Caenorhabditis elegans: one gene and its partners. The protein of the gene in region 3 interacts with the protein of the main gene of each other region in a pairwise test. Each region holds a gene or a part of one and is shown on either strand. Other genes may lie near its edges.

The links.
Region 1: the proteins of mup-4 (region 3) and crb-1 interact in a two-hybrid assay, tested with the Caenorhabditis elegans proteins (one large-scale study listed by BioGRID).
Region 2: the proteins of mup-4 (region 3) and ttm-1 interact in a two-hybrid assay, tested with the Caenorhabditis elegans proteins (one large-scale study listed by BioGRID).

The regions. Positions count from the first base shown.
Region 1 is NC_003284.9:17,409,251-17,416,896, forward strand, and holds the start of crb-1 (uncharacterized protein), read right to left. Parts: upstream 4,765-7,646; 5' UTR 4,600-4,764; coding exon 4,554-4,599; exon of another isoform or gene 4,442-4,553; intron 4,002-4,441; coding exon 3,716-4,001; intron 3,670-3,715; coding exon 3,570-3,669; intron 3,524-3,569; coding exon 3,373-3,523; intron 2,874-3,372; coding exon 2,731-2,873; intron 2,686-2,730; coding exon 2,590-2,685; intron 2,521-2,589; coding exon 2,079-2,520; intron 1,989-2,078; coding exon 1,849-1,988; intron 1,782-1,848; coding exon 1,668-1,781; intron 1,393-1,667; coding exon 1,211-1,392; intron 1,163-1,210; coding exon 931-1,162; intron 881-930; coding exon 785-880; intron 738-784; coding exon 587-737; intron 543-586; coding exon 413-542; intron 297-412; coding exon 133-296; intron 1-132.
Region 2 is NC_003281.10:12,950,804-12,960,340, forward strand, and holds ttm-1 (Zinc transporter ttm-1), read right to left. Parts: upstream 6,369-9,537; 5' UTR 6,210-6,368; coding exon 5,919-6,209; intron 4,531-5,918; coding exon 3,738-4,530; intron 2,551-3,737; coding exon 2,402-2,550; 3' UTR 2,166-2,401; downstream 1-2,165. Other genes in the region: Y39E4A.1 (uncharacterized protein), read left to right, coding at 669-974, 1,444-1,539. UniProt on the Caenorhabditis elegans protein: Promotes excretion of zinc from intestinal cells into the intestinal lumen in response to increased dietary zinc. Involved in cadmium resistance, possibly by promoting its transport from cells.
Region 3 is NC_003281.10:7,484,192-7,491,844, forward strand, and holds the start of mup-4 (Transmembrane matrix receptor MUP-4), read right to left. Parts: upstream 4,915-7,653; 5' UTR 4,872-4,914; coding exon 4,796-4,871; intron 4,006-4,795; coding exon 3,950-4,005; intron 3,721-3,949; coding exon 2,724-3,720; intron 2,345-2,723; coding exon 1,812-2,344; intron 1,717-1,811; coding exon 1,230-1,716; intron 1,182-1,229; coding exon 876-1,181; intron 772-875; coding exon 622-771; intron 575-621; coding exon 365-574; intron 318-364; coding exon 231-317; intron 184-230; coding exon 1-183. UniProt on the Caenorhabditis elegans protein: Required for junctional attachments between hypodermis and muscle, and between the apical epithelial surface and the cuticular matrix.

The DNA of each region.
Region 1 (7,646 bases), on a different chromosome or scaffold from region 3:
ACATAAAAAATTATTAGTTATAGCTTTTTCATTTTTCCAGAATTCACAAGACCTTTTCCAACACCAACATGTTTCCACTTCTTTTCGCAAATTAATCCCCAACTCGTCAGGTGTTCAATTGATTCGACTCACCTGTAATAAGACCGCCAGCAATCTTGACGACGAGATAATTAGTCAGAACATCTGCGGCGTGCTTCTCGCCAATATAGAACAGAACGGCATCCGGTTTGCCGGAATGCATTAAGAAGCTCAACTCGATGTGATTACGGAGCAGGTGGTTTTCCGATTCGCTTGTGCTAAATAGTCCAATTATTGTGTTTATTTAGTATTAGTGCTTTGGATTCCAAATTTCTAGGTTTTGCTCAATTAGCACAAATTGCAAAAAAAAAATTCCACATTATTGACAAATTACCTCAAATGCACAATTGAGGGCTGGTCCAAATGTCCAAAGGTCGTTTTGGGGAGGAAATATACACAATTTGGTTTCAGGTATGGAGGTTTACATTTGCAACTTGAGCTCTCCCAATGGTCAATGCAAATTCCTGAAGCTTTATTTTTGTAACTTCATCATTCAGAAAAAATTAACCTTCATTCTGACAGTATGCTCTGGTGCACTGTTCACTTCTAGTGCACCCTTTTCTAATATCAATTGCTCGTTTGTTATCTGCAAAAATTATGAGATCCCCGTCCACTCGAACATCAGCCATGCATCCTATAAAGTGATGAGTTCCAGAGATCTGTAAATCAGTTTATTGAGTAAAGAGTGTATTTCATACGCTAATACCTTTCCAAATCTGGTGAGGAACACTTCAAGCTGTCCGTTGACTGACTTTTGAACTAGACTGAACCCATTTTCAGTGGAGACTTCGATTTGGATTTTCTGTAATAAATTAAAAATATATACTCAAGTTAAAAAAAATTTAAACTTACATTATCCTCTCCCTTTACAAACACTGTATACCATTGAGCATCGCTAACTCTCATTGGCAGCAGGTGCTCCAACGAATTTCCGGTCATGTTGAACACCAAGTATCCCGACAAAAGTTGAATAGACAAAATCTTCTCTCCGAGAATGTTCTCGCTGCTCGCCAAATGGGTATTTTCCACAGTTGTGCGGAACGAAAACTCTAGTTCATAGGCAATATTTTCGAATGAAGAAGTTCTGAAATGCTTTTTTCATAAAATATATAGTTAGAGAAAAAGAAAGTACCCAAGGGAGAATTTGGAGCTCTGATGAATATACAAACTTTTCGCCGAAAATGTTGCTGACGTCACCATTTCACACTGTTGTCCAAAGTGGCCTATTTCACATCCACATTGTGCAGTGATATTCACGTTATCATTCACTTGGCTACAAGTTTGACCAGATGGACAGGATACTTTAGAGCATTTCTGAAAATAAGAATGGAATGATTTGTCTACATTTTTTACTTTTTAAAATTTTCTTAAAGTACATATATAATACCAACAATTCTGGAAAACTGTTTGAACTTACTGTCTCAAATTTAATGTAGAACAAAATCAGGGACTAATTTCTTTATGTTACAAAACATAGAAAAGACTAAAAATATAATTTTAGTTTTAGTTTTTTGAATTCAAAAGACACAATTAAATTTCGTAAAACTTCAGCATTCTTCTACACTGTTTTTCATTTAAAAAAAACCTACATCATGTTTCTGATCACATTTTTGTCCAAAATATCCATCATCACAAATGCAAACTGGCCCAGATTCGACGTCAAGACAATTGGATGAGTTGACGCAGTCTTCGCAAGATATTTTCTGAAAAATTTTAATATTGCAAGTATTTATTATGAACGAATTTTGAATAAAAAACTAAAACACTCACACTCTGAGAGAATCCGTCGATTCCAGAAGTTGTAAAAGATGGAAACGTTCCTAATGTGGGAATAGGGGTTGAAGGCTCATCCACCGTTTCGCAGTGGACGCCACCAAAGCCTGATGTGCAATGACAGAAGTATTGTCCATCTGAAAAATTGTAAAACTTTAAAGAGTATCAGTATCAGCACAAAAATTAATTTACAGCTCCCTAAAAAACTCTATTCTTTTTCTTATTACCTGCATCTTGGCAAGTTCCTCCATTTTGACAGGGATTAATTGTGCATCCAGATTTTGGCTCACAGAACGGTCCATCAAACCCTTCTTCACATACACAAAACGGTTCCCCTTCTGCGTCGAGTTTACAGCTTCCACCATTCAAACATCGAATGTCACTGCATGTTGGATGTGACCGATATGAATTACTTATTTCACAATTGGACCCATTGAATCCTTCCGGACACTGGCAGGTAGTTGCGGCTAACGCGAACACACACTTTCCCCCATTCTTACAATCCGATCCATTAACCAGACAATCAACAGGCTCTCCACAATAGATGCCGGTAAAAGAGGGAAGGCAAAAGCAGGTGAAGAGATTCTGCCCGTCGTCGACGCAGTGACCCCCATTAAGACACGGCTCACGATCGCATGGACGAGCTTGCAACTCTTTACAGTCGGCACCCTGCAATTAAACGATAGATTGCGCGAGGGACCCATATCCGAACATGCCCAGATTATTCGTCAAACGTACCATAAACCCCGAAGGACACTCGCATTGCGTTGTCCTTGACGTCCCGTTTACGAGTGAACAAACATGAGCCGGGTTTTCACATATACACTCGTTAACCTGAGAAAAAACACAAGCAATTAACAGTGAGAAAATTGGTGTTACCTCTGCTTTGAGCTCGCAGAATGCACCATCAAACCCGGGAGAGCACTTGCAGGAGAGATCGGAGCCAGTCGAAATGCATTGACCATTGTTGTGACAATAATCAGAAGTGCATTGTTTCTTGTCTTGGATTTCACAGTATTTACCTAGAAGAAATTGTGAAAACATGTTTCTTCTTAGTTTTCTTTTGTTTTTATAAAATAATTTATTCGAATGTAAACTCTCAACAAATCAGCAACGTTAACAAAATTGAGAAAATAATAAGAAAGTTGAAAACTATAAGTATTGCAAAAAAACTGGGTATTTGTCCAAATATCATAATAAAACTTTTTGAACAACCTGAAGAAATGATTTTATTTCGAGCCAAAAGGGATCAACATGACAATGCTTCAGATTTGTCGAAACGTGGCAAAAACATGTATGCGATTTTTGACTCGAGATAAAAAATCCCCGAATTGTTTAGAAAATTTTTTATGACATTTGGTCATTTAGCACCTTATAAATGATTTTTGATCAAATTCACACTAGTCTTATTGAAAAAATCTAACTAAACGTTTTTCAAACTTCAGGTTTTTTTTTCACAATTATGTCTACTGGAAAACTATATTTCATCCTTCCCATCCAAATTTTCAAACCAAAACTCACCAGAAAATCCTTTTAAACATTTGCATTCATAACTTCCTTTCAAATTTTCACAATCTGCTCCATTCTGACAAAAATTTTCTTTGCACTCGTCCTCGTCAGTTTCACAGTGATCTCCAACAAATCCAGGTGGGCAGGCACATTTTACATTTCCCTGAACATTCTATTGGTTTTTATCACTCTGGACTCAAGTCACTCACGTTCTCGGCAACACAAGTGCCGTTATTCTGACAAGTGTGTGTTGCGCAAGACGGCTCGTTGCTCTGGCAAATGTATGATCCGTCGGCTCCTTTTGTGCATCTATAAAAAACATACATGTTTTTGGTTTGCACAAGGTCATGTATACCTTTCGTCATCGCCACATTGCGGTGAGCACTTTTGAGCAGTGTCATCATCAGTAACTAGATTATCACAAAGTGAGCCCATCCATCCTTCGGAGCACTGGCAAGTTTCTTCGCCAAACGTTCCTTTCACGCAGTTACCGTGGAGACAGTGCAAAGAGCAGTTGTCCTGACATAGCAACCCACTGAAACCCTTCGGACATTCACACTGAAACATTCGCGTCTCATCGTTCACTGTGCAAGTTCCGCCGTTAAGACATGTGTTCCGACTGCACGCTCTGTTACATAGTGCTGAAAAGAGTTTTAGTGACAGCTTGTGGTATTCATCTGTCTTAATGATAATGATGGATTACTTTTTGCAAAAAGTCAGTTGGTAGTTTTGTCCAAGTTTTAGATTGGAACTGATCTTTGGAAAACAAAATTTAGAAATTTATTTTGTTTTTTGGTATGAAATATACGAGCTTCATTTAATTTTCAGAGAAAGAAGTCATGTGTTTTATTGAAAAGGTCTGGGCTTCTGAAATAATTGTTAACCGACAAATATGTTAATAGTTATTTGTTTACAATTTTAGTTGAAAATATATAAACGATTACAAAATCAAAGAAGAGATGGGCTGCAAAAATTGAGAGTTTTCAGATACAACAATGCTCAACACTTAAAAGCCCAAAATCAACTTTCTCAAACATATTTTGAATTTAAATTAGATTTTCAGTTTTTGAGATGTTCACTTAAACTTCGTGTTATACATTTCTATCTCTCATCTAGTCTAAACCAAAACTTTTCACACTCAGATCAATCAGTCTGTGAAACCGAATGACATCATATCTTAGTAGTAGACTTACCATTTGTAACCAGGGTACAAAATATGAGAAAATGTTGATATTTCATGAGTGGTAGATCATTGAATGCAGATCCCAAATAGGAGTAATGACGGCAGCTAGTCGAATTGTTTTGTGTTTGGAGGTAAAAAAGGTAGTTTGCCGCTTGACGATTGTTCTTCTGTACCGCACACGCTAGCTGCCGGAGTGACGCGAGAGAGAAAGAGAAGGTCCTAGAGAGCCAGGTGTATTGTCGGATAATAAGCAGGTAATTAGAACGGAAGAGGAAACACGGGCAAGAGAGATGAAGGGGGGGGGGGGGGGAATCTCGTGGTTGCCAGGGGTCAGCTAGCTGCCCTGTGGCATTTCGACGGTAATTTGGAAATAGTAGGGAAAGTTTCAGTTGACCGAGTGATTGAAGATATACAAAATTTTCAAACGTTTATAAAAAGTGAAAACATAGAAATTCAGCGTTTAGTTAAAAAAAAAGGTTTTCGAGAGTATTTGTACAATTTCGACATTTTTTTTGTGCTCGTTTCAGTTTGGCAGCTCATGCTTTTGATTTTACTTTTAATTGTCGTCTGATAAAATATTTCCTACTTTTTTTTATTATCATCTAGTTCCTAATGTACTTGTATGTGTTAATAAAATTAGCTGAAATATGGGGTTTTATCCCATAACAAGCGACAATATTGTTTTATTGTGATTTCAGGAGTTTTTTTATTTAAAAGAAATAAGAATGAACAAGCTTAATTATGCGTAAGTACAAATTCAAAATACTCAAAAAGTGCTGGGTCCACTTGAATTACAGCAAAAAACCCTCAGCAGCTAATTAGTTCCAAACAATTTCCGGCTGTCAACATCTCCAACATCTATATATTTTATGTGTAGTAGGTCGGATATTATACAGACAATTTTCAAATGATGAGACTAGTTTCACCCGGCACGCACACGGAAAAAAGAAGGGGATAGCAAAAAAGTGAAGCGAAAAGGACAGTGTGTTTGTCCTGTTATGCGGAAAAATGAGATTTGCTGGGGTTACCGATATCGAAATACGTTTTTAGAAAATATTTGGATGAAAATTCAAATAAAAATTTCCGAAATAAAAACGGCAAAAGCAAAAAAGTTTAGTAGTTCCGTTTAGACGGGACAAACTTTGCTGAGAAAATTGAGTAGAAATGAAGGCCAAGGCGGAGCACAGTTGACAAATGACCGCGCATTTGGAAATGGCAAACTGTCGGAATTTCATGGAAAAATACCAACAAGTGAATCAATTACATAATTTTAAAAAGTGAAATTCTCAAATGTTTCAAAGATAGTTGGGGAATTTCAAACTACCTCCCAATAATACTCAAGAGACGCAAAGTTTTTGAACTTACTTGTTATGCTATCAGTTATGTTTTTTGGAAATGTTGGAGGTCACAAACCTTAAAATTGATTCTGATATATATTTTTGATTAATCAAAAAATTACAGTTCATTGTGAACATTTTACGCTCAAAAATATGTTGCCAACATTTTCAAAATAGGGAATCTTCTCAAATAACTGAAAAGTTCAAATTTTCAATTCACGGTAACATGATGAAATAAATTTTTAAAAAACAACTTTTAAAAACAACTTTTTTTTCAATTTAATAAAAATTCAGTTGATAAACATTGAATAATTAAACTTAGTTTTTGTGTTGATATTTGTTGAAATGCTAAATTTTTAAAACCAAGAGATTATTTGGATTCAAATTTCAAATTACAAATTGATCTGACGATTTTTTGTCGTTCCTAAAAAAAATGCTAAAATTGTACTTACGGAAAACAACAATTTTGAAAAGCAAAAAAAAATTAGCAACGAAAAAAAATCACCCCTGTGGCTAGCTTCTCGGATCGCGTTCTACTTATGGTATTATCTGGGGACTTTGCATCAGAAAAAAAATACGGCGCAAAAATACGCTAGAGAAGATAAAAATGTATGTGTGCATGATACATCTCGTCGCCTAATTGTCTATCTCTAAACACCTTTTTTTTGAATATGCCGCAAATATGTAGTGGTCAGTCAGTCAATAAAAAACACGCATATAGACAAAACAAAACGATTGCGCGCGCGCGGGGTCGTAAGGTCATGGAAAAGAGCATGGTATTGATAACAGTGCACACATAACCCCAGGTCTTACAAAAAGAGTTTTTGGAAAGAATAGAATTGTGCAGCAAATGACAGAAAAGGACGGAGGGACACTTGATGGACTGCTGAGGAAAAAAAGGTGCGTGGACGACCGGAATATAGGGTGTATTAAGAGTGAAGGGACACATGTATTTGTTTCGAGGCATTTCCGGTTATGGCGAGAAGAAGGGATATGAACAAGATAATTGAAGACAAATAGTCCGTGATGATTTGTTGACTAACAGTGAGACAATTATTTTCGAATCAAGGTTTTGAATACTAATTATGTAGATCGAGCTAGAAAATTTATTAAAAAATTCTGACTATTTTTCCTGTACTAATAAAACTTCACTAAGTACCTTACGTTTTCAAACACAAAACCTTATAAAAATAACTTATTAATTTAGAACAGTTGTACGTAATAATGCAAAAACCATTACAATTATTTTACAGAGCCTTTTGCAATTTTAGGAATCTAGTAGTATACATAGTAGTTGTATCAAAAACTTAGAATTACACAATCCAGAAATAGAACTAAGCAGCAGGCCCAATCACTGCAAATGACACTTAATTACAATGTAAAAAGTATCAACAAGCAGGGGCAAAGAGTTGAGAGCAAACTAAGATTGAATACCTAAAAGAGACTCATCAACTATCGAACGATCTCCAAAAGCACAGAAACAACACTTGAGTTGGTTGGAAGGAGGGGGGATATGACTTTGTTTGGGCAAGCGCTAGGCTCTCCCCCTCACCATCTTGGGCTCCCAGAGCACACCCCATCGGAAACCGTCTGAGCCACTTAAAGAGCCACCGCAGTGTCCAGCAACTTCTTGACTTCGCGCACCAAAACGTTTTGTACTGTAGCGCGGCGGATGGGGAAGCGAGTATACAAAAGCCGGGTTTGCAAGTGGATGCTTTTCGAAAAATGGTCACTTGTTTTGAAATTGTTAGCACGTTCTCGTTTTA
Region 2 (9,537 bases), 5.5 Mb from region 3:
AAAATTCACACTTTTGAAACTCTTCTAAAATATTTAATTTCGTAGTTAGAGAACTCAAAATTAGTGTACAACAACTAAAAAATTGTCCTTTTTTCAATTTCCAATGATTTTGTACGATTTCAGAAAAATTAATTTTTTTTTTCCAAAAGGAAAAAAGTACAGTCATTAGATGGCTGAAAATTGGACAAAAATAAAAAACTGTCTAAATTTGTTGAAAATGGGTAATTCATATATGCTGAATTCAGAAAAACAAGGTTTAACCCTTCAAAAACTATTAAAAAAGTGCAAAAAATGGGAAACTTATTGTAAAAAATCACAATTTTGAAGATTGATCTCCGAACACTAAAAAGTTGTGATTTTTCTGAAAACAGTGGTTTTAAACAGATTTAGAAAAAACAAAATTTTGACCAAAAAAATAATAATAAATGTAAAAAAAATCATTTTCAAATTTTTGATTTATGAAAATTAAAAATTTTGAACTTTAAAAAAAAAAAAAAAATCAGAAAAAGTGGGAAAAAATTTACTATTTATTTTGAAAATTCCGTAAACTTTTAAATGATATAATCGCCCCTTCCTCCCCTTCTCAAAAAAATTTATTTCTGTTTCAAAGAGAGTTCGGTGGCAAATCAAATAATAAAATAAAAGAAAATTCTCATCTTCTGCAAACAATGGCCGATGCATTTTTCGATCCAACTGCTCCCGTCGCGAATGATCAGAAAAAACCCGATGACGAGTACCACAATCTCGCCGCGATGCCCTACGACAATCTGAATCCAAATGCGCCGACAGTCGGAGGAACACCGCCACCGCCACCGCCAGATGCTCACGGAGCCGCCGGTGGGCTCGTATCGGATAAGAAGGTGGCAAGTGGTGATGTGGTTGGTGATGGGGTTCAGGAGTTGCCCGAGTCGGATCCTTCGTCCATTAAGCCGAGAGTCAATAAGGCGAAGATCAAAAAGTTGAAGAACAAGCTTGTGAGTTTTTACGTTATCGATTTTTAAAAATATTGATTTTCTATGAATTATCGATTTTTTCACAAAATATCGATTTTCTATAGATTATCGATTTTTTAAATACCGATTTTTTATAAAAGTTCGATTGTTCGCAAAATATAGATTTTTTATAGATTATCGATTTTTTTTACAAAATATTGTTTTTTATAAATTATCGATTTTTTTTATTAGTGATTTTCAATAAATTATCGATTTTTCAAACATTGATTTTCTATAGATTATCGATTTTTAAAATATTGATTTTTTTTACAAAATATCGATTTTCTATAGATTATCGATTTTTTTCTAAATATTGATTTTCTATAAACTATCGATTTTATTAAAATTATTGATTTTCCATAGATTATCGATATATACATTTTTAATTTATCGATTTTCTCCCCACTATTGTGCAAAATATTCCTCCCAAGAAATCTTCAAATATTTCCAGAAAAACGCGAAAATCGTCTACTGGACAATGCTCGGAATTTGGACGATTTGTCTGGTTTTATTCGTTCTCGTTTACTTCAGTATTTTCCCGCTTTAAATAAAACAGTTTGGGTGGAAAATGAATAAAGATATTGGATTTTTCGTTCGATTTTGTGTTGTTCTTCAAAATATAGATTTTCAATAAAAACTATTGATTTTTCAACAAAAAATAATATTGATTTTCTTTCAGTGTTCGATTTTTCAGGAATACAATTATCGATTTATTTTAAATTATTGATTTTTCATAGATTATCGATTATTTTTTAAATATTGAAAAAAAATGATCGATTTTCAAACATTGAGCCATAATGAATTTTTGATTTTTTAAATATTGATTTTTCATAGATTATCGATTTTTTTTTAAATATTGATTTTCTAAAATTATCAATTTTTAAAAATACTGGTTTTATAAGATTTATCAATTAAAAAACTGATTCGTAGCAAATTAACAATGTTTCAAAAATAGAGATTTTTTTATAAACAATCGATTTTTTAATTATTGATTTTCTATAAACTATCGATTTTTTGAAAATATCAATTTTCAAAAAAATGATCGATTTTTAGAATATTGATTTTTCGAATATTACTGACTTTCTATTAATTATCGATTTTTCAGAAATATTGATTTTGAATAAATTATTGATTTTTTAATATTTCGATTTTCTTTCAAAAATTTCAAAAAAAAAAAATTAAAGCCATTTATTATCGATTTGACAGGATTGGACAGTAAGGAAAAATATGAACATTAGTAGGCATCTCTGGATGTGCCAAATGAATACAACCCGTGTGAGTAGGTCAAAAAACTGACAGGAAAAGTCGAGAAAAGTAAACGTTTTGAAAAAAATGAAATTGATTGGAAAAAAAAAACGTAGAAGTTTGCCCGTATCGTAATAGATTAGAAGAACGATGGAGGACTGGAATCAAGCAGTTTCCTGTTGTTGACACGTGTCACAGGAATCGATTTTCTCGTCGAACGGCTCCACTTGGACAGTGGCGACGGCAACTCCGAATCGCCGGCGGATCAGGGAACGGGCTTCGGCAACATTTTCCATGGCGCGGTTAGGAGATTCTGGAATATTGGAAGAGTTAGAAAAATATATTTTTATTAAATATTAAAATTCAATATCATGAAAGGCAGCACTTTTCCCTTGCAGAACATTCCAGGAAATTTCCAGAAAACTTTGAATTTCCCGCCAAAATTGTTTCTCAAAAAATTTGAATTTCCCTTCAAAATTCTCATTTAAAAATTTGAATTTCCCACCAAAAATCATTGGAAAAAATTGAATTTTTTTGCCAATTTTTTTAGAGCACATCTGAATTTTTTTTCAAAAGTTTCATTTAAAAAATTTGAATTTCTCGCCAAAACTGTTATTGAAAATTTTGAATTTATCTTCAAAACTTCAATAGCACGTGGTGTCAGGCTGTCTCATTGCGGCTTGATCTACTACAAATGCGGGAATATTTTTACAGAAAAATTGTCAGCACGCTCTTAACCATGCGAAGTCAGATGAGATGTATGCGTCTCAACTCCCGCATTTTTTGAAGATCAAATCGAAATAAGACATTCTGACCCCACGTGCAACAGAGAGACAATTTGAATTTCCTGCCAAAAAATTTTTAAAGGAAAACTCGATTTCCCGGCAAATTTTTCGAAAGAAAATTGTTTGAATTCCCGCCAAAAATTTTATAGCCAAAGTTTGAATTTGCCGCCAAAACTAACAGTTTAAAATTTTGAATTTCCCGCCAAAATTCCTATAAAAAATGTTCGAATTTCCCGTTAAAAATTATTCTCAGAAGATTTAAATTTCCTCCAAAATCTTTATATCAAAACTTTGAATTTCCCGCCAAAAATTATTCAGAAAATTTAAATTTCATTCAAAGTTTTTCAGAGAAAATTTGAAATTTTTAAAATCCAATTTTTGCTCTAAATTGAATTTCCCTTCAAAATTTTCATTTAAAATTTTGAATTTCCGGCCAAAAATTGATTGAATAAATTTGCATTTATATCCACAATATATATTTAAATTATTTGAATTTCCCGGTAGAAACTTCAATGGAAAAATTTGAATTCCCCGCCAAAATTATTTTTTAAAAATTTGAAATTCCCGGCAAACATTTTTAAAAGTAAATTTGAATTCCCGCCAAAATAACTATTGAAAAATTTGAATTCCCGCCAAAATCTTTATTGAAAAATTTCAATTTTCCGCCAAAATTTTCTCAGTTTTACTCAAAACTCCAAAATGAGAAGCCACTCACCAAGTGCCAAATGCACCGAAAACGCAGTCTTATCCATTCCAATAGACCATAAATGCAAATCATGAACACCTTTTACACCTTCCAACGCACTCAACGCCTTCTTCACATCACTCAAGTCATAGTGGCTCGGTGTGGCTTCCATCAAAACGAAAAAGATGTCCCGCATAACTGTAACCGTCGTGAAGAGCACGATAATCGAGAAAAGGAATGTGCAAATCGGATCGGCAAGTGTCCATCCGGTAAACCTAATGATAAGGGCAGCAATCAGGACTCCAATGGATTGCACCAAATCTCCAATGACATGAATCAGAGCAGCTCTAACATTCACATTCTTTCCATCATGAGCATGTCCATGACTTGAGTGTCCTCCATGAGTGTGCCCATGACCTCCAGTTCCGAAGTGCAACACCAATCCCATAACGATATTAAAAAGGACTCCGACGCCCGCGGTGATGAGCATCACATCAGCATCCACCTCATGCTCATTGTTCACAATTCGCTGAATAGCGACGACGACGAGCACTGTCGTGAGCACCCAGAGAATGATCACAGACGTCAGAGCACCAAGAACTTCGGCTCGCTCGTAACCGAATGAAAGACGCTTCGATGCGGGAAGACGTGCACAACGAATCGCAAAAATTGAGATGATGAATGAGAGAAGATCACTGAGCATGTGTCCGGCGTCTGTCATAATTGCTAGCGATTGAGCCCAGAATCCACCGACGAACTCGGCGGCGATGAAGACTGCGGATAGTGCTGCAACTGCCCATAGCACTTTTTCTGCTCGGCGACCCTGGAAACGAGAAATATTAGTTGGAAAATCCAAACAAAAAATTTTATGTCCATTTTTTTTTTGGCGAAAAAATGTTTTTTTTTAAAGTTATACACTGTGTTTTTAAAAAAATTACTACTAAAATTGTGCGGTAACACTGAATTCTGAGAATGCATGTGGTGCCAGGCTGTCTGTCCCATTACGGTTTGATCTACAAAAAATGCGGGAATATTTTGCCCAAAAAATGTGACGTCAGCACGAACTCTGCGTCTCTTCTCCCGCATTTTTTGTAGATCTACGTAGATAAAGCCGAAATGAGACATTCTGACATCACGTGAGACTGCGTATTGCACAACATATCTGACGCGCAAAATATCTCGTAGTAATTCAGTAATTCAATAAATTACTACTTTAGCGCAGTTTTTCTTTGCTTTTTCGTATTATCTTTGTTTTCATTCTTTGCTTAATTTTGATATTATATCGATAAATCTATGAACATAGAGCCGCGTAAATCGACACTACAGTAGTCATTCAAAGAATTACTGTAGTTTTCGCGTCGAAATATTTTGCGCGTCAAATAATGTTTTGATTTTTTCAGAAAAATATTCAAATGTATAAATTCTTGTCATATTTTTTGCGTTTTTTTTTCGCATTTTTGTCAAAAAAACGTCCCGCTAACTGAAAAATGCCTTGATTTTTATATATTTCAAATAAAATTGCAATTTTTCAAGAACATTTTCAGGGAAACTAATTTAAATTTGGAAAAAAAATCAGTTATTGAAATTTTCGACACTTTTCCAATATTTTTCAACATTTTAGGATGAAATATTCAATTCACAGGAAGTCGTCGTATTGCTAGATATTTGTGGGCGGCAAACGATTTTTTCCGGCAAATCGCCAAATTGCCGGAATTGAAAATTTTTGGCAAATCGGCAAATCGACAAATTGCCGGAATTGAAATTTCCGGCAAATCGACAAATTGCCGGAATTGAAAATTTCCGGCAAATCGACAAATTGCCGAAATTGAACATTTCTGGCAAATCGACAAATTGCCGGCAAATCGGCAAATCGACAAATTGCCGGAATTGAAAATTGCCGGCAAATCGGCGAATTGCCGGAATTGGAAATTTCCGACAAATCGTCAAATTACCGGAATTGAAAATTTCCGGCAAATCGGCAAATTGCCGGAGTTGAAAATTTCCTCTGATATGTATAATTGCGAGCTCGTGTTTTGGCTTGATTTTAAAAAAAACACATTTTTATGCTAAAATGGTCGATTTTGGGCTTTTTACATAGATAGCAATAATTAAAATTAAAAGCAACATTTTTTGAAAAATTTAGTTTTAATATAATGGTCATTTTAATAGAGGTAAAAGTTGAGCCATGTTGCAAAAAAATTTGCTATGTACCTTTTGATATTTCTCATCATGACTATGCTTATGCGCTCCTCCTCCTGCTCCACTACAATCCGAAGAGGAATCATCATTATTGTGTGTGTGTGAGTGCCCATGACCCCCATGAGAGTGCCCATGCCCATGACCGTGATGATGGTGGTCAATAGAGTCGGCAGATACTCCAGAATCCGAAGAGGACACCGACTGGGTGTCCTCTTCGATGTTGGCGGGCAGGTTGGATGAGGAAGAGTCACGTTTGTCACTGGATAGGCGGATTGATGACGGAGATATCATTGAGATTGTCATAGTTCTAGAGATTTCAAAAAATATATTTAACGGGAATTAAGAGAAATGAGTACGGCACGTGTATGTGTGTCAGGCTGTCCCATCAAGGTTTGATCTACCAAAAATTCCCGCAATTTTTGTAGATTTTCGTAGATCAAAACGACGTGGGACACTCTGACAAGAGCAGCGAAATTTCAAAATGAAAAACTTAGTTACTTAGTTCCGCGATTTTTTTTGTTGTCCCCTTTCAAAGAACAACACAAAGACTGGGGAGCGGTGGAATGCGTTTTGACAAACAAATAAACAAGACAAAAATGGGGTGAAAAAAGAGAATAAGGAACACAATAAACAGGAGAATAGGAAAAGGAAATGGAGAACAAAATTGAATATGGGAAAACGTTCTGGCTGATAGGAAAAAAAGGAAAAAAATTGAGTGGGAAGGAAGGTCGCAAGATTTTTTTATGCAAATTTTTAAAAATCAAAGATCTTTCGAGTCATGCAGGAATTTGTTTTTTTTTTGGATATGAAGCTCCAAGAGCTCCGCGAGCCAGCTTACTTTTGGACGTATTTCAATAGAAATACATTTTTTTCTAAAATTAGATTCTTATGAAAAAGTTAGTACTTTGAATTGAAAAATTCGAAGGTTTTCAGTGCATTTTTTAAAGTTTCAAAGCCAGTGAAATTTCGTGAATATTTTCAAAATCTGTATTTTTTTGGATTTTTTTCCAAAAAATTTTTTTTTAATTTTCAGTTATTTTTCAAAAAATACCGACTTAAATGCCAGATTTTTTTTCTTCAAATTTCATCGTTTAATTCAAAAAAAATCCGGCAATTTTTAGATTAAAAAGAATAGAAAAAAAAATATTTTTTGCCTTAAAAAAGTTTAGAAAATTTTCAAAAAATCGAAAAATTTTATATTTTATTTTTCAAAAATACAATTTCTGAAAAAAACCTCAAGTGGTTCTTAAATTAGGTAAACATTTAATTTTAAGCTTCTACAACTTTTATGAAAAAAATTTTGACATAAAATTTTCAAAAAAAAATCAGTTTTAACAAGATAAAAAGAAATTAGCTTGAAAACTCCGCTTTGCACAAATTTTTAAGTTTTTTGGAAAAAAATTCCAGGAAAAAGTTATATGAAAAACCAAAAAATTCATGCCAAAAGTTCAAAAAAGCAAAAAAGCAAACAAATTCTTACAAAAAATTGGAAACTTTTCAACAGAAAAAAAAACTTCAAAAAAAATTCTTATTGCTTTCTGCAAAGCAATAAGAATTGCAAGACTGAAAATGTGAGGCATTCAAAAAAAATTCACAAGCGCATAATAAGAAACACGAGGAGAGAGATTATAGATAGTCAATGAAGGAAAAGCAGAAGAAGAACCAGATTGTATTTCCTGCCATCAAGCATCTATCTATCTAGCAAAAACGAGAGACTTGCAAGTGAAAAGTGAAGGAAAAAAAAAACGATTTTGATCTACCTCCCTGTAAACGAGGCGAAAGTGTAAAAATTATTGTTAAGCTACTGGGAATTTAATTAATTTTAATTTACAGACTTTGGCAGACTTCTAGAAAATAAAAAGGTGAAACAAAACTTTGGTCAAGATCGTTTGATGTGCCGTTTATGTAGGCGAGAGATGGACATAAGACTGCCTCTAAATGGTCTTCTGAATTCAAAAAGACACAAATTCTATGTCTTGAACTTCAAAAAATAAGTTGAGAAAATGTAAAGATCAAGTATTTTGTGTTTTCATCCATCAAAAATCCTTCAAAAATCTCAGAAAAAAGTTGTTGAAAATTTGAATTTTTTGGGGTCGAATTTCCGGTATTCTCTACTTTTTGGCTACATTATTATTTTTTCGACAAACTCCCAGAAAAGTTGTGGAAACTAGGGAGGAACTACAAAAAAAAAGGTACAAATTTTCAGGGCTTGAATTGAACTTTTTCAAACTAGTTGGGGAAAGAAGGAGTCAACAAAATAATTAGTGATTTTTTAGAACTCATCAGAATTTTTACAAAAACATTTTACTTAGGCTTAAGATGAGGCTAATGCTTAGGCTTAGGCGTAGGCCTAGGCTTAGGCTTAAGCTTCAAATTAATTTGTGTTCAAAAATTGTGATCTACAAGATTCTTAGGAAAAAAATAAGAATCCTTTAAAAAAATCATCTTCTGATCGCTTGATCTCTGATTTTAATACAATTTATATATAAAAAAAATATTATTAGATGCCCTTTAAAAGGCTCATGTGATAACATAAGTAGCAACAATATCACGTGGAAAAATATTAGGTAATTTAAAAATATTTTCTAGAGAACTGAAGAAAGCAATAAAAGTGCAGAAAATGTGAAACGGAAATTGTTTCGAAAAAAGACAAAAAAAGAAAGAAAAAAAGGAGGCCGAGATGATTTACACACCTCCCACACATATGAGAAACTAGTTTTTTTTTGTTGGAAAAATGATAGAGTTGAGACAAAAAAAAAGAGAGATCAAGTAAAGTGAAAAGGACGTAATGTGAACCGAACTCTTTATCAGTATAGGTGTCTTAAAAAAGTGTCAGCATTTTCGTGATTAAATGTCGGGGCTTTTTCATAAAATTTATATACATGTCGACGGAGGAGGAGGAGGAGTGAAAGTGTGATAAGGGGGAGACGTCATTCTAGTTTGTGATACAGTTTCGTGAAATGTATTCCGGAGAAGTACTGCAATTAGAAATGACCTTATTAGGAGTGTGCGGCAATTGTGGCGAATTTGCCGCAAACACCTCAAATTGGATTTTAAAAAATTGACCGAAACTATTGATTTTGTTCAAAAAATTATAGTAAAAAAACATAAAATTGAGGTATTCAAAAATTAAACTTGTGCTAAGAATTTAGTAATTTTGGAGCTCCTAGAAATATCATTAAAACTTTTTAAAATTTTTTTTTGGAGTTTGCCGAGCTGGGCAAATTTTGACTCCTTATGATGGCTCAAAGAGCTTCAAAATTTAAAAATCTTGCCAAGGTCAGCGAGTTCACTCACAAAACTTATAGGATTAGTGAAAGGTTACTGTAAGAGCGCTTAGTAACGTAACCTGTGCAAAAAGATCTACTTTTAGCCACAGCGACCATGTCGTATTTTCTATATTAGTCTCGCACTTAAAGGTGCTTTAGTCAATTTTTTAAAAATTGCTTTATTAGACTCTATATTGTTTGAAAACACGAAATTTCATAATTAAACTTCTTTAAAACTTCTCAAAAAAAAGGTTATGGCGGCTCAAAAAATGACTTAAAATAGGTTAAAATTTGAAATTTGACAGACTTGTCAAGCGGCTGGAAACTATTTTTTTTTGAAATCACCGTCTAATTTTAGGTAT
Region 3 (7,653 bases):
GACAATCATGCTTGGAGTCATCCGAACAGATTGGTTCAACGCATTTTCTTCCAGGGCGATGGGTAAGTGGACTCTTATCAATGAATCCAGCATTGCATACACACTCGTAATCATTGGCTCCTTTCTCGACGCAGCGAGCGTTTTTGTCACACTCGTGTTTTCCAGATTCACAGATTTGATTCACTGAAAAATAAAAAATGTCAATTGTGGTTTAAGAATTCCCAACTCACATTTCTTGCATGTTCTTCCTGGATTTCTAAGCTCATCATGATCAACATACCCCTCTTTGCATTGGCATTTATAAGAGTCACGAGTATCTAAAAAACAAAAATTTAAATGAATTTCTATTAAAAATTGAACTAACCAATGCATATGGCGTGTTCATGACAGTTATGTCCTCCTGTAATAAGACACTCATTGACAAGAGCTCTACAGTCAATTCCTCCGAATGCATTTGGATTTGGTGAGATGTCCACAAAATCTTCTTTGCATCTACACAAGAAGCCATCTGGAAGATCTATACAATCAGCATTCATCGAGCAATTGTGAGTTCCATCCAAACATTCATTGCGTTCTGAAAAATGAAATTATATGAAATGGTTGCTCAGATTCAGAACGAACGTTTGGAGCAAACTCTTCCTGGTTTCTTGTTCTGTTCAGGTGATTTGTCAAGGAACCCTTCATTGCAGGTACAGATGTATGATTCATCAGTATCTGTACATTTGGCATTTGGATCACAATCAGCAACTCCAGCAGCACACTCGTCAATTACTGCAAATTAAATTGTTCTCAATTGTGTTATACATAGTATTCAATATTTTAAATTTGAAGACAATTTTTTAAATCTTCACACAACATATATTTCCTGAACTTACAGCAGATATCAGTCACTGGATGTCTCTTATGATGTCTATCACACATGCATGCAAATGCTCCACGTCCATCTGGAAGGCACTTCTCTTTCTTTCTGGCATCACACGAGTCTGGCATTCTTGGATCACAAGTTCCTGGAGCTTCACACTTGTTTGTACGCCCGTTGCGTTGGAAACCAGCGTCGCATTTGCAGATGAATTCTCCTCCAGCTCCCTTTTCACATTTCGAGTTTGCTGGGCAACTGTGAACGTCGTTTGGTGAGCATTCATCATTTGATTCAGAAGTTTGTACAGGCTTCTCACCAATTTCTGAAAATATGAATTATTTTAAGAGAATTCAAGATGTCATAAACTTACTGCAAACTCCAGTAAGCCGATCTCTCCATCCCAAATCTGCTGGACAAGTACATCTCCAGTTTCCGAAAGGAGTTTTCTCACAAATTTCTGGATCAGGGCAAGACGTGGCGATCTCCGGATTGCAAATATCTCCACCGCAAACCTTGGTGACTGGATGGATATCAAAACCAGCTGGGCACGCGCACACAAACTTTCCATTCTTCTGTTGGCATACTTGATTCAATGATCTATCACATCCATTATGATTGCTTGGATCACATGGTCCCTTGTTATAAGTATCCTCATTGTTCTGATGTGGGCAAGCGACACGTTGGATGGCTGAACGTAGACGAGTGTTAAGATCTTCGAAGCCAGAAACATGGAATGTTCGGTCCTTGGAACCAGAGATTTCTTCAAGTTCTGCGTCAAGTACGTGGTTGGTTACTCCAACGGCGAAGAGTTGGATATCTTGTCGACGAGCATTGTCAGATGGTCGAGTGACATTGTCCTAAATTAATTTTTTTAATTTTTTTAAAAGTACCATAAGTACATCTGTTGAGCTTCCTGCAACTGTTAAAAATGGTACGTTTCAACTATTCTCACCTGAGATCTTCCATCAGTAATAACAATAGCTACACGTGAGACTTGTCCGACTGGTCTTGCTCCACGTCTCTCACTGAATGCTTCATTTGCAACGTGCTCGATGGCTGCTCCGGTTCTAGTGAGCCCAGTCAAGTATTCAATATTTCTGATAGCATTTTGAAGAGATTTACGATCAGAATAGTTATCCAATCCGAACTCATGACGGATTTGATCAGAATATTGAACAACTGACACACGTGTCTTCTGGGGTGCAATATCGAACAACTCGGTGAACTCGGCCAAAAAGCGCAAAACTTCAGTCTGGAAAACATATGATCCAATTGATCCAGATCCATCAATCAAGAAGACCAAATCAGTTGGTTGAGCTGGGCAAGCAGTGGAAAGAGTGCAGACACGGCCTGGTGGAAGATTGGCATTTGAGGAGACATCAACGTATCCTGCGAAGCACTTGCATGTGTATCCATCCGGAAGTTGAACGCAATCAGCATTTTCATCGCAAGAGTTGAGAGATTTGTCAGAACATTGATTGGCAGCTGAAATTGTAGAAATAAAGGAATATTGTGACGTGCCAAATATTGAGTATGTCGCTATAAGTTGTTGCGAACTTTTTATTGGTTGTGAAAAATATTTTTTAAACAAAAAATTTCATTTTCCTTGTTTTGTACACAGATGAAAATTTTCCAAATGCCAACAAGACTTTAGTTATATAAGTTCATTCGGCCAAAAAAGCTATAACATGCATTTCTCTACGTTGCAACTGATAAATTAGCTTTGATTGAATTTCATGCAACTCACCAGGATCTCGATGCATTTCTAAATTGGATATCATATTTTTAATAAGAACATTTTCAAATAGAACTGTTTTCTGTTTTTTTTTTCTCAAAATAGTCATAGTTCACCAAACACACTTACCAACGCTACACTTTCTTCCAGGTGGCAAGTTGTAACGAGAAGAGACATCAATACAGTTGGAATTGCAAGAACAGATGTATCCAGTTGGGGTGTCTTGACAAGCAGCTTGATGAGAGCAGTCATGGGATCCATCGGCACATTCATTACGAACTTGTTGACATTTTCTTCCTGGGAGTCTAACTGGATCGGGTGAGACATCAAGGAATCCATCTTTACATTGGCATTTTGGACCATCGTAAGTGTTAGAGCAGAATGCATTTCTGTCACATTCATTAGCTTGTTCACATTGACTGAAAACCTTGCAGACTCCGTTCGATTGTTGAACACTTCCACGTCTACACTGGCAAACTTTTTCTCCGGCAGTATTGAATCTGCACTCTTCATTTGGTCCACATCCGGAACCCTCAGAGCACTGTGGTTGACGACTTTGTTGTCCATAGTATTCCGGTGCTTTTGGCTTATTACAAACACGTCCTGGATACTTGTCAACGTTTGGTGAAGCATCGACAAATCCTGGGCGACATTTGCATTCGTACCCATCAGCACGATCAAAACAGTCAGCGTTGTTAGAGCAATCAGCCTCTCCGTTAGTACACTCATTGACCGATTCAACACATTTTCTTCCAGGAAGTTTAGAGATCGAAGTGGAAACATCAGCATATCCCGGTTGGCAAACGCATTGGAAACCTTCTGGAGTATCCACGCAAGCTGCATTTTCATCACAATCAACACCATAAGTCTGTTTAGCTCCGCACTCATTCGTTGTCTTCTGACACTGACGTCCTGGTTTGTTAACCTTATCTGGTGATGTGTCAGCGAATCCAGAATTACAACGACACGTGTATCCTTCTGCGAGATCAACACATTGAGCATCCTTGTGACAAGCGTTTAGTGATGGACGAGCACATTCGTTGACGACGAGGCAGCGACCGTCGGCGAGACGGGATACTCCAACGGGACATTCACATCGGTATTGCCCGTTCACAAATACGCAAACCTAAAGGTTTATCACATATTTCATAGCCAGAAAAAACAACAACAATTTATAAAATTAAGAACTAGAAAATGTATTCCTAGATAATATGCAAAATTTTTCATCGTGGTATCCTCTAAAAATCCGATCTGAACACCTCTATAAAATTCACTTTGAGTTTTCATTTTCAGACTAAACATTTTAAGATGTTGTTGATCTTTGCTATTTTTGTAGAATCTCGTTTTTTGCTTACCTCGCTTTTTGCTTGATTACATGATAGTGGGTCGTTTACTCGGCATTGCAGACTAGCTGAAAAACAGTCGATTAAAGTCCGAATTTGCCAAATTTTTGAATTCCCCATTTCACAACAATCATTAAATTCATTAAATTAAAAAGTGATGAATCATATATTATTTTTCTATTTTTCACTCCCTAAAAACGTCTTGATCTCCTCTCTTCTTCTTCTTCCTTTCTATCAGAATGCCATTTATGTATACGTGTTCACACAAGGTCACATCTGGGTGTGCCAAAACTGCCACGCCCTTAACCATTTTCTCAGGGTCTCCAAACTTTTCAAGCTATTTCCACATGGGAGCGCGTGGGATGAGACTGCGAAGAGGACTGGTAATGATAATGAAAATGCCAAAGAAAGGGAAGCTAACGGTTTAGAGATATGGGAATGAGAGAGAAAAAGAAGGGAAGGGCAAATGAAATATTACACTAACATCGATCCCAACCAATCAGAAATTGAAATAACAAAACAAAGTGACACATTTGGTTTTGCCAAAGTTTGATTAGATACTAATGAGGGCAAAAGTAATGGGAACTAACGAGGTTACTGTAATTTAATGGGGTCAATCTATAAATGTAAAGATATTTTTCAAGTTCAGGTTTTCACTAGGCTCAAAAGGAAAAAGTGAAGTGAGACCAAGCACAAAATACCTGCCTGTCTGCAAAAATGGTAACGGGACGCGATAGGTAGGCGCGTAGGCAGGCAAGAGCCACCATAGAAGCGGTTCAAACTGATAATTTTTTCAACATTATGCATTTAACAAAATAATTCAATAAGTAGAAAGTTGCACCCGCTTTAAAAACTTACAATAGGTCTGCCGATGTTGATAGGTTGTTGCCGCCGAGGCGATCAACGGCAGGAGCACTAACGGCACCCACCTCATCGAGATCGTGACCCTTAAAATAATTAAATTCGAGGCTAAATAAGAATTGAAAATTAGAAAAGGGAAAATCAAGAAAACTTTGATTTCGTCGAATCTTTTTTCTGATCATTGGCAATCAACAAAATACAAAGAGATGTGAGAGAGAGAGAGAGAGAGAGAGCAACAGATTTTACAAAAAAAAGAAGAAAAGTTGAAGAAGACGTGAAACAAACATATATCTGGAAGGTGTGGCTGGCAATGAGAGAAAACGAGGGCCCCAAGAAGAAACCAATAGGCATTTGGATGGAAGAAATAGTATACAAGATGAAGAGACGCAGAGGAGAAGATATGCGAACCTGACCGATAGGAGTGTCTTTCTCCTCAACAGTCTTTGATTGTGATAGGCTGGTTTTGAGAAAATGAAATGGCAGGGGATAGAAACAATAAGTGAAGAAATGCGGAAAAGAAATATGACAAATCGAGAAAAAGCCGGGGAGAACATTTTCATGCATGAATAATTATCAATAATAGGCTTAGACTTTCGATAAAGCTTGAACATGAACGTCAGACTGTAAGTTGCAGAATTTCTTCAAATATCGATTTTTTAAATATATTTGGAACTATAACTTTGGATTTGGAATCATTCACTGCTATGAAATGCTCTGCTGCTCCATTGGAGTTTAGTAAGATTGAGTTACCGTATTTTTTATTAGACTTGTGGCGCTCAACTACAGAAGTATAGCTCAACATTTGACACTTGTTTTTAATTTTTTTTTCCGAGATAAAATCATTCAGTGGAGCTAGGGGATGCAAGTCTAATAGGAAAAGTATATTTAAAAAAAGGCTCTGTATAGACCTTGTCATTCATCTGCTCATGGTCCAGAAAGAGTTCCAGTGTAGGCGAAAAGACCATAAAGCTCTCAAAGTTAGATCTAAAGCTGGAAGGAAAGGAAACTGCAATTTTAAGCTCTACTTTATAGTATTTCAGTCAGCAAAAAACAACAGTAAGGTCATATGCATATACGTAGTTCAAATAGAATAAGCTCAAGATATCCTTAAACTTACGCTATCAGCCACGCTACCGTATCCCTTATCAGAGTCACTTCCTTAACCTCATCCAGTACCTTTCACTTTGTCATCATCAAGCTAACAAGCTGTAGAAGTGTCCCATCATATCAAGTCTTATCACTAGAGGGAGGAGGAAAAGGGAATGGATTGCGTAACACTGACATGAACACCGGTTAACCAGATACAGAAAGAAGGAAATTCAACGACGCCAACTTCGAACGAAAAGAAGAAAAGAGGGAAAAAAGAAGACGTGAAATCGAAAGGCAACAACATAATCGGCCGGTTGATTGGCTAAACGGAATGAATGGTGTCCGACGGGGGGAGAAGGTGGGGGATCTTTCAAGTTTGCGCCCCCCGTACGCGTGGCAATGCCAGAAGCATTATGAAAGAATGGAATACACCAGAAGGTGTCTCTGTGTTTCTCTCTATGTTTAATTGCGTGTACATCTGGACGCTGTCCGAGGTATTGTGAATACCCTTCGATGCCATGGGAAAGGTAAAGGCGTGGCACGGAGATGGGTGTGTATACGCAACTTTGATTGATTATAGAAGGAAATTGAGATATTGCAGAAATTGATGGTAAGGGTGGAGAAAGAGAGGAAGTTTACACAAGTTCAGAAGTGTGATCGTCGATGTTCTAGGTGGATGTTAGAAGATCCTGTGAGATCTAGAAATTAACAGCTATATCTCATGATCCATTTGAATAAAAGCTCACTGAAATATAACTGTTCCTAGAACATACAAAGCGTGTGAACCTTTTTTTATTTCTAGGGAATTTGCAAGCATATCAAATTCTTGATTAAAGTTACTTTAATATATTTCTTGCTTAAAATGTTCATACCTAAAAACATTATCTTATTACCTGCTCCCAGAAAATTTCAATTTTAACTCTAAATCACCGCATTGCCCTTTCATGAGCAAACTAGGGATGTGCGGCGAATTTCGAAATTGGCCGAGCTCGGCAAATTCGGCAAGTCCACATTTTTCAAATTTGCCGTGGCCGGCTAATTCGGCAAATTTGCCGCACACCCTTGGACCTTACCATTTAAATATATCAACACATGTTTTACAAGTTTCTTATATTTGTCTCATTGTTGTAAAATTCTTTAGTTGTTCTAAATTTTGATTAATTATAAGCAAGTAAATGAATCATATAAACTCTTGGGTACAGTAGCTCAGAAGTTTCGCACGCATTCAATGTTACAAAGTGTTATAAATTTGCTCAGAATGGTGATCAAAAATGAAGATATACTGATAGAATATATGTAATTGTTCAGTTTGCACTTTTTCACTGCTTGACCAAAAAATCATGTACCTCCGAAAATAAATGTTAGAAATTTATTCTGATTCTAACAAAAATTTTTACAACAGAAAAAAAGAAAACTATTGGAACCAAATTTGGAAGAAAATGATATACATTCCTAGTAGGCCAAGCATATTAAAAAATTGGGCGTTAACATAAAGATCCGAACAAAGATAACAGGTATATTACTTACTCATTAGGAATTTACATGTTAGTATAATTCCGGTGAATGGGAAATACAAATATAAAAATACTAAAGTTAACAATAAAACACTGGGTCGATCTGGGAATAAAGATGAATGCACAATTGCCTTTAAACTCCAATTTTAATTTCAGTTGATCCCTAGAAGAACCTACCAAATCGCATAATGACAGAACCGATAAATTCATAATTGATATGTAATCTGATAAGAAAAAAGAAAGGGAAAAAGA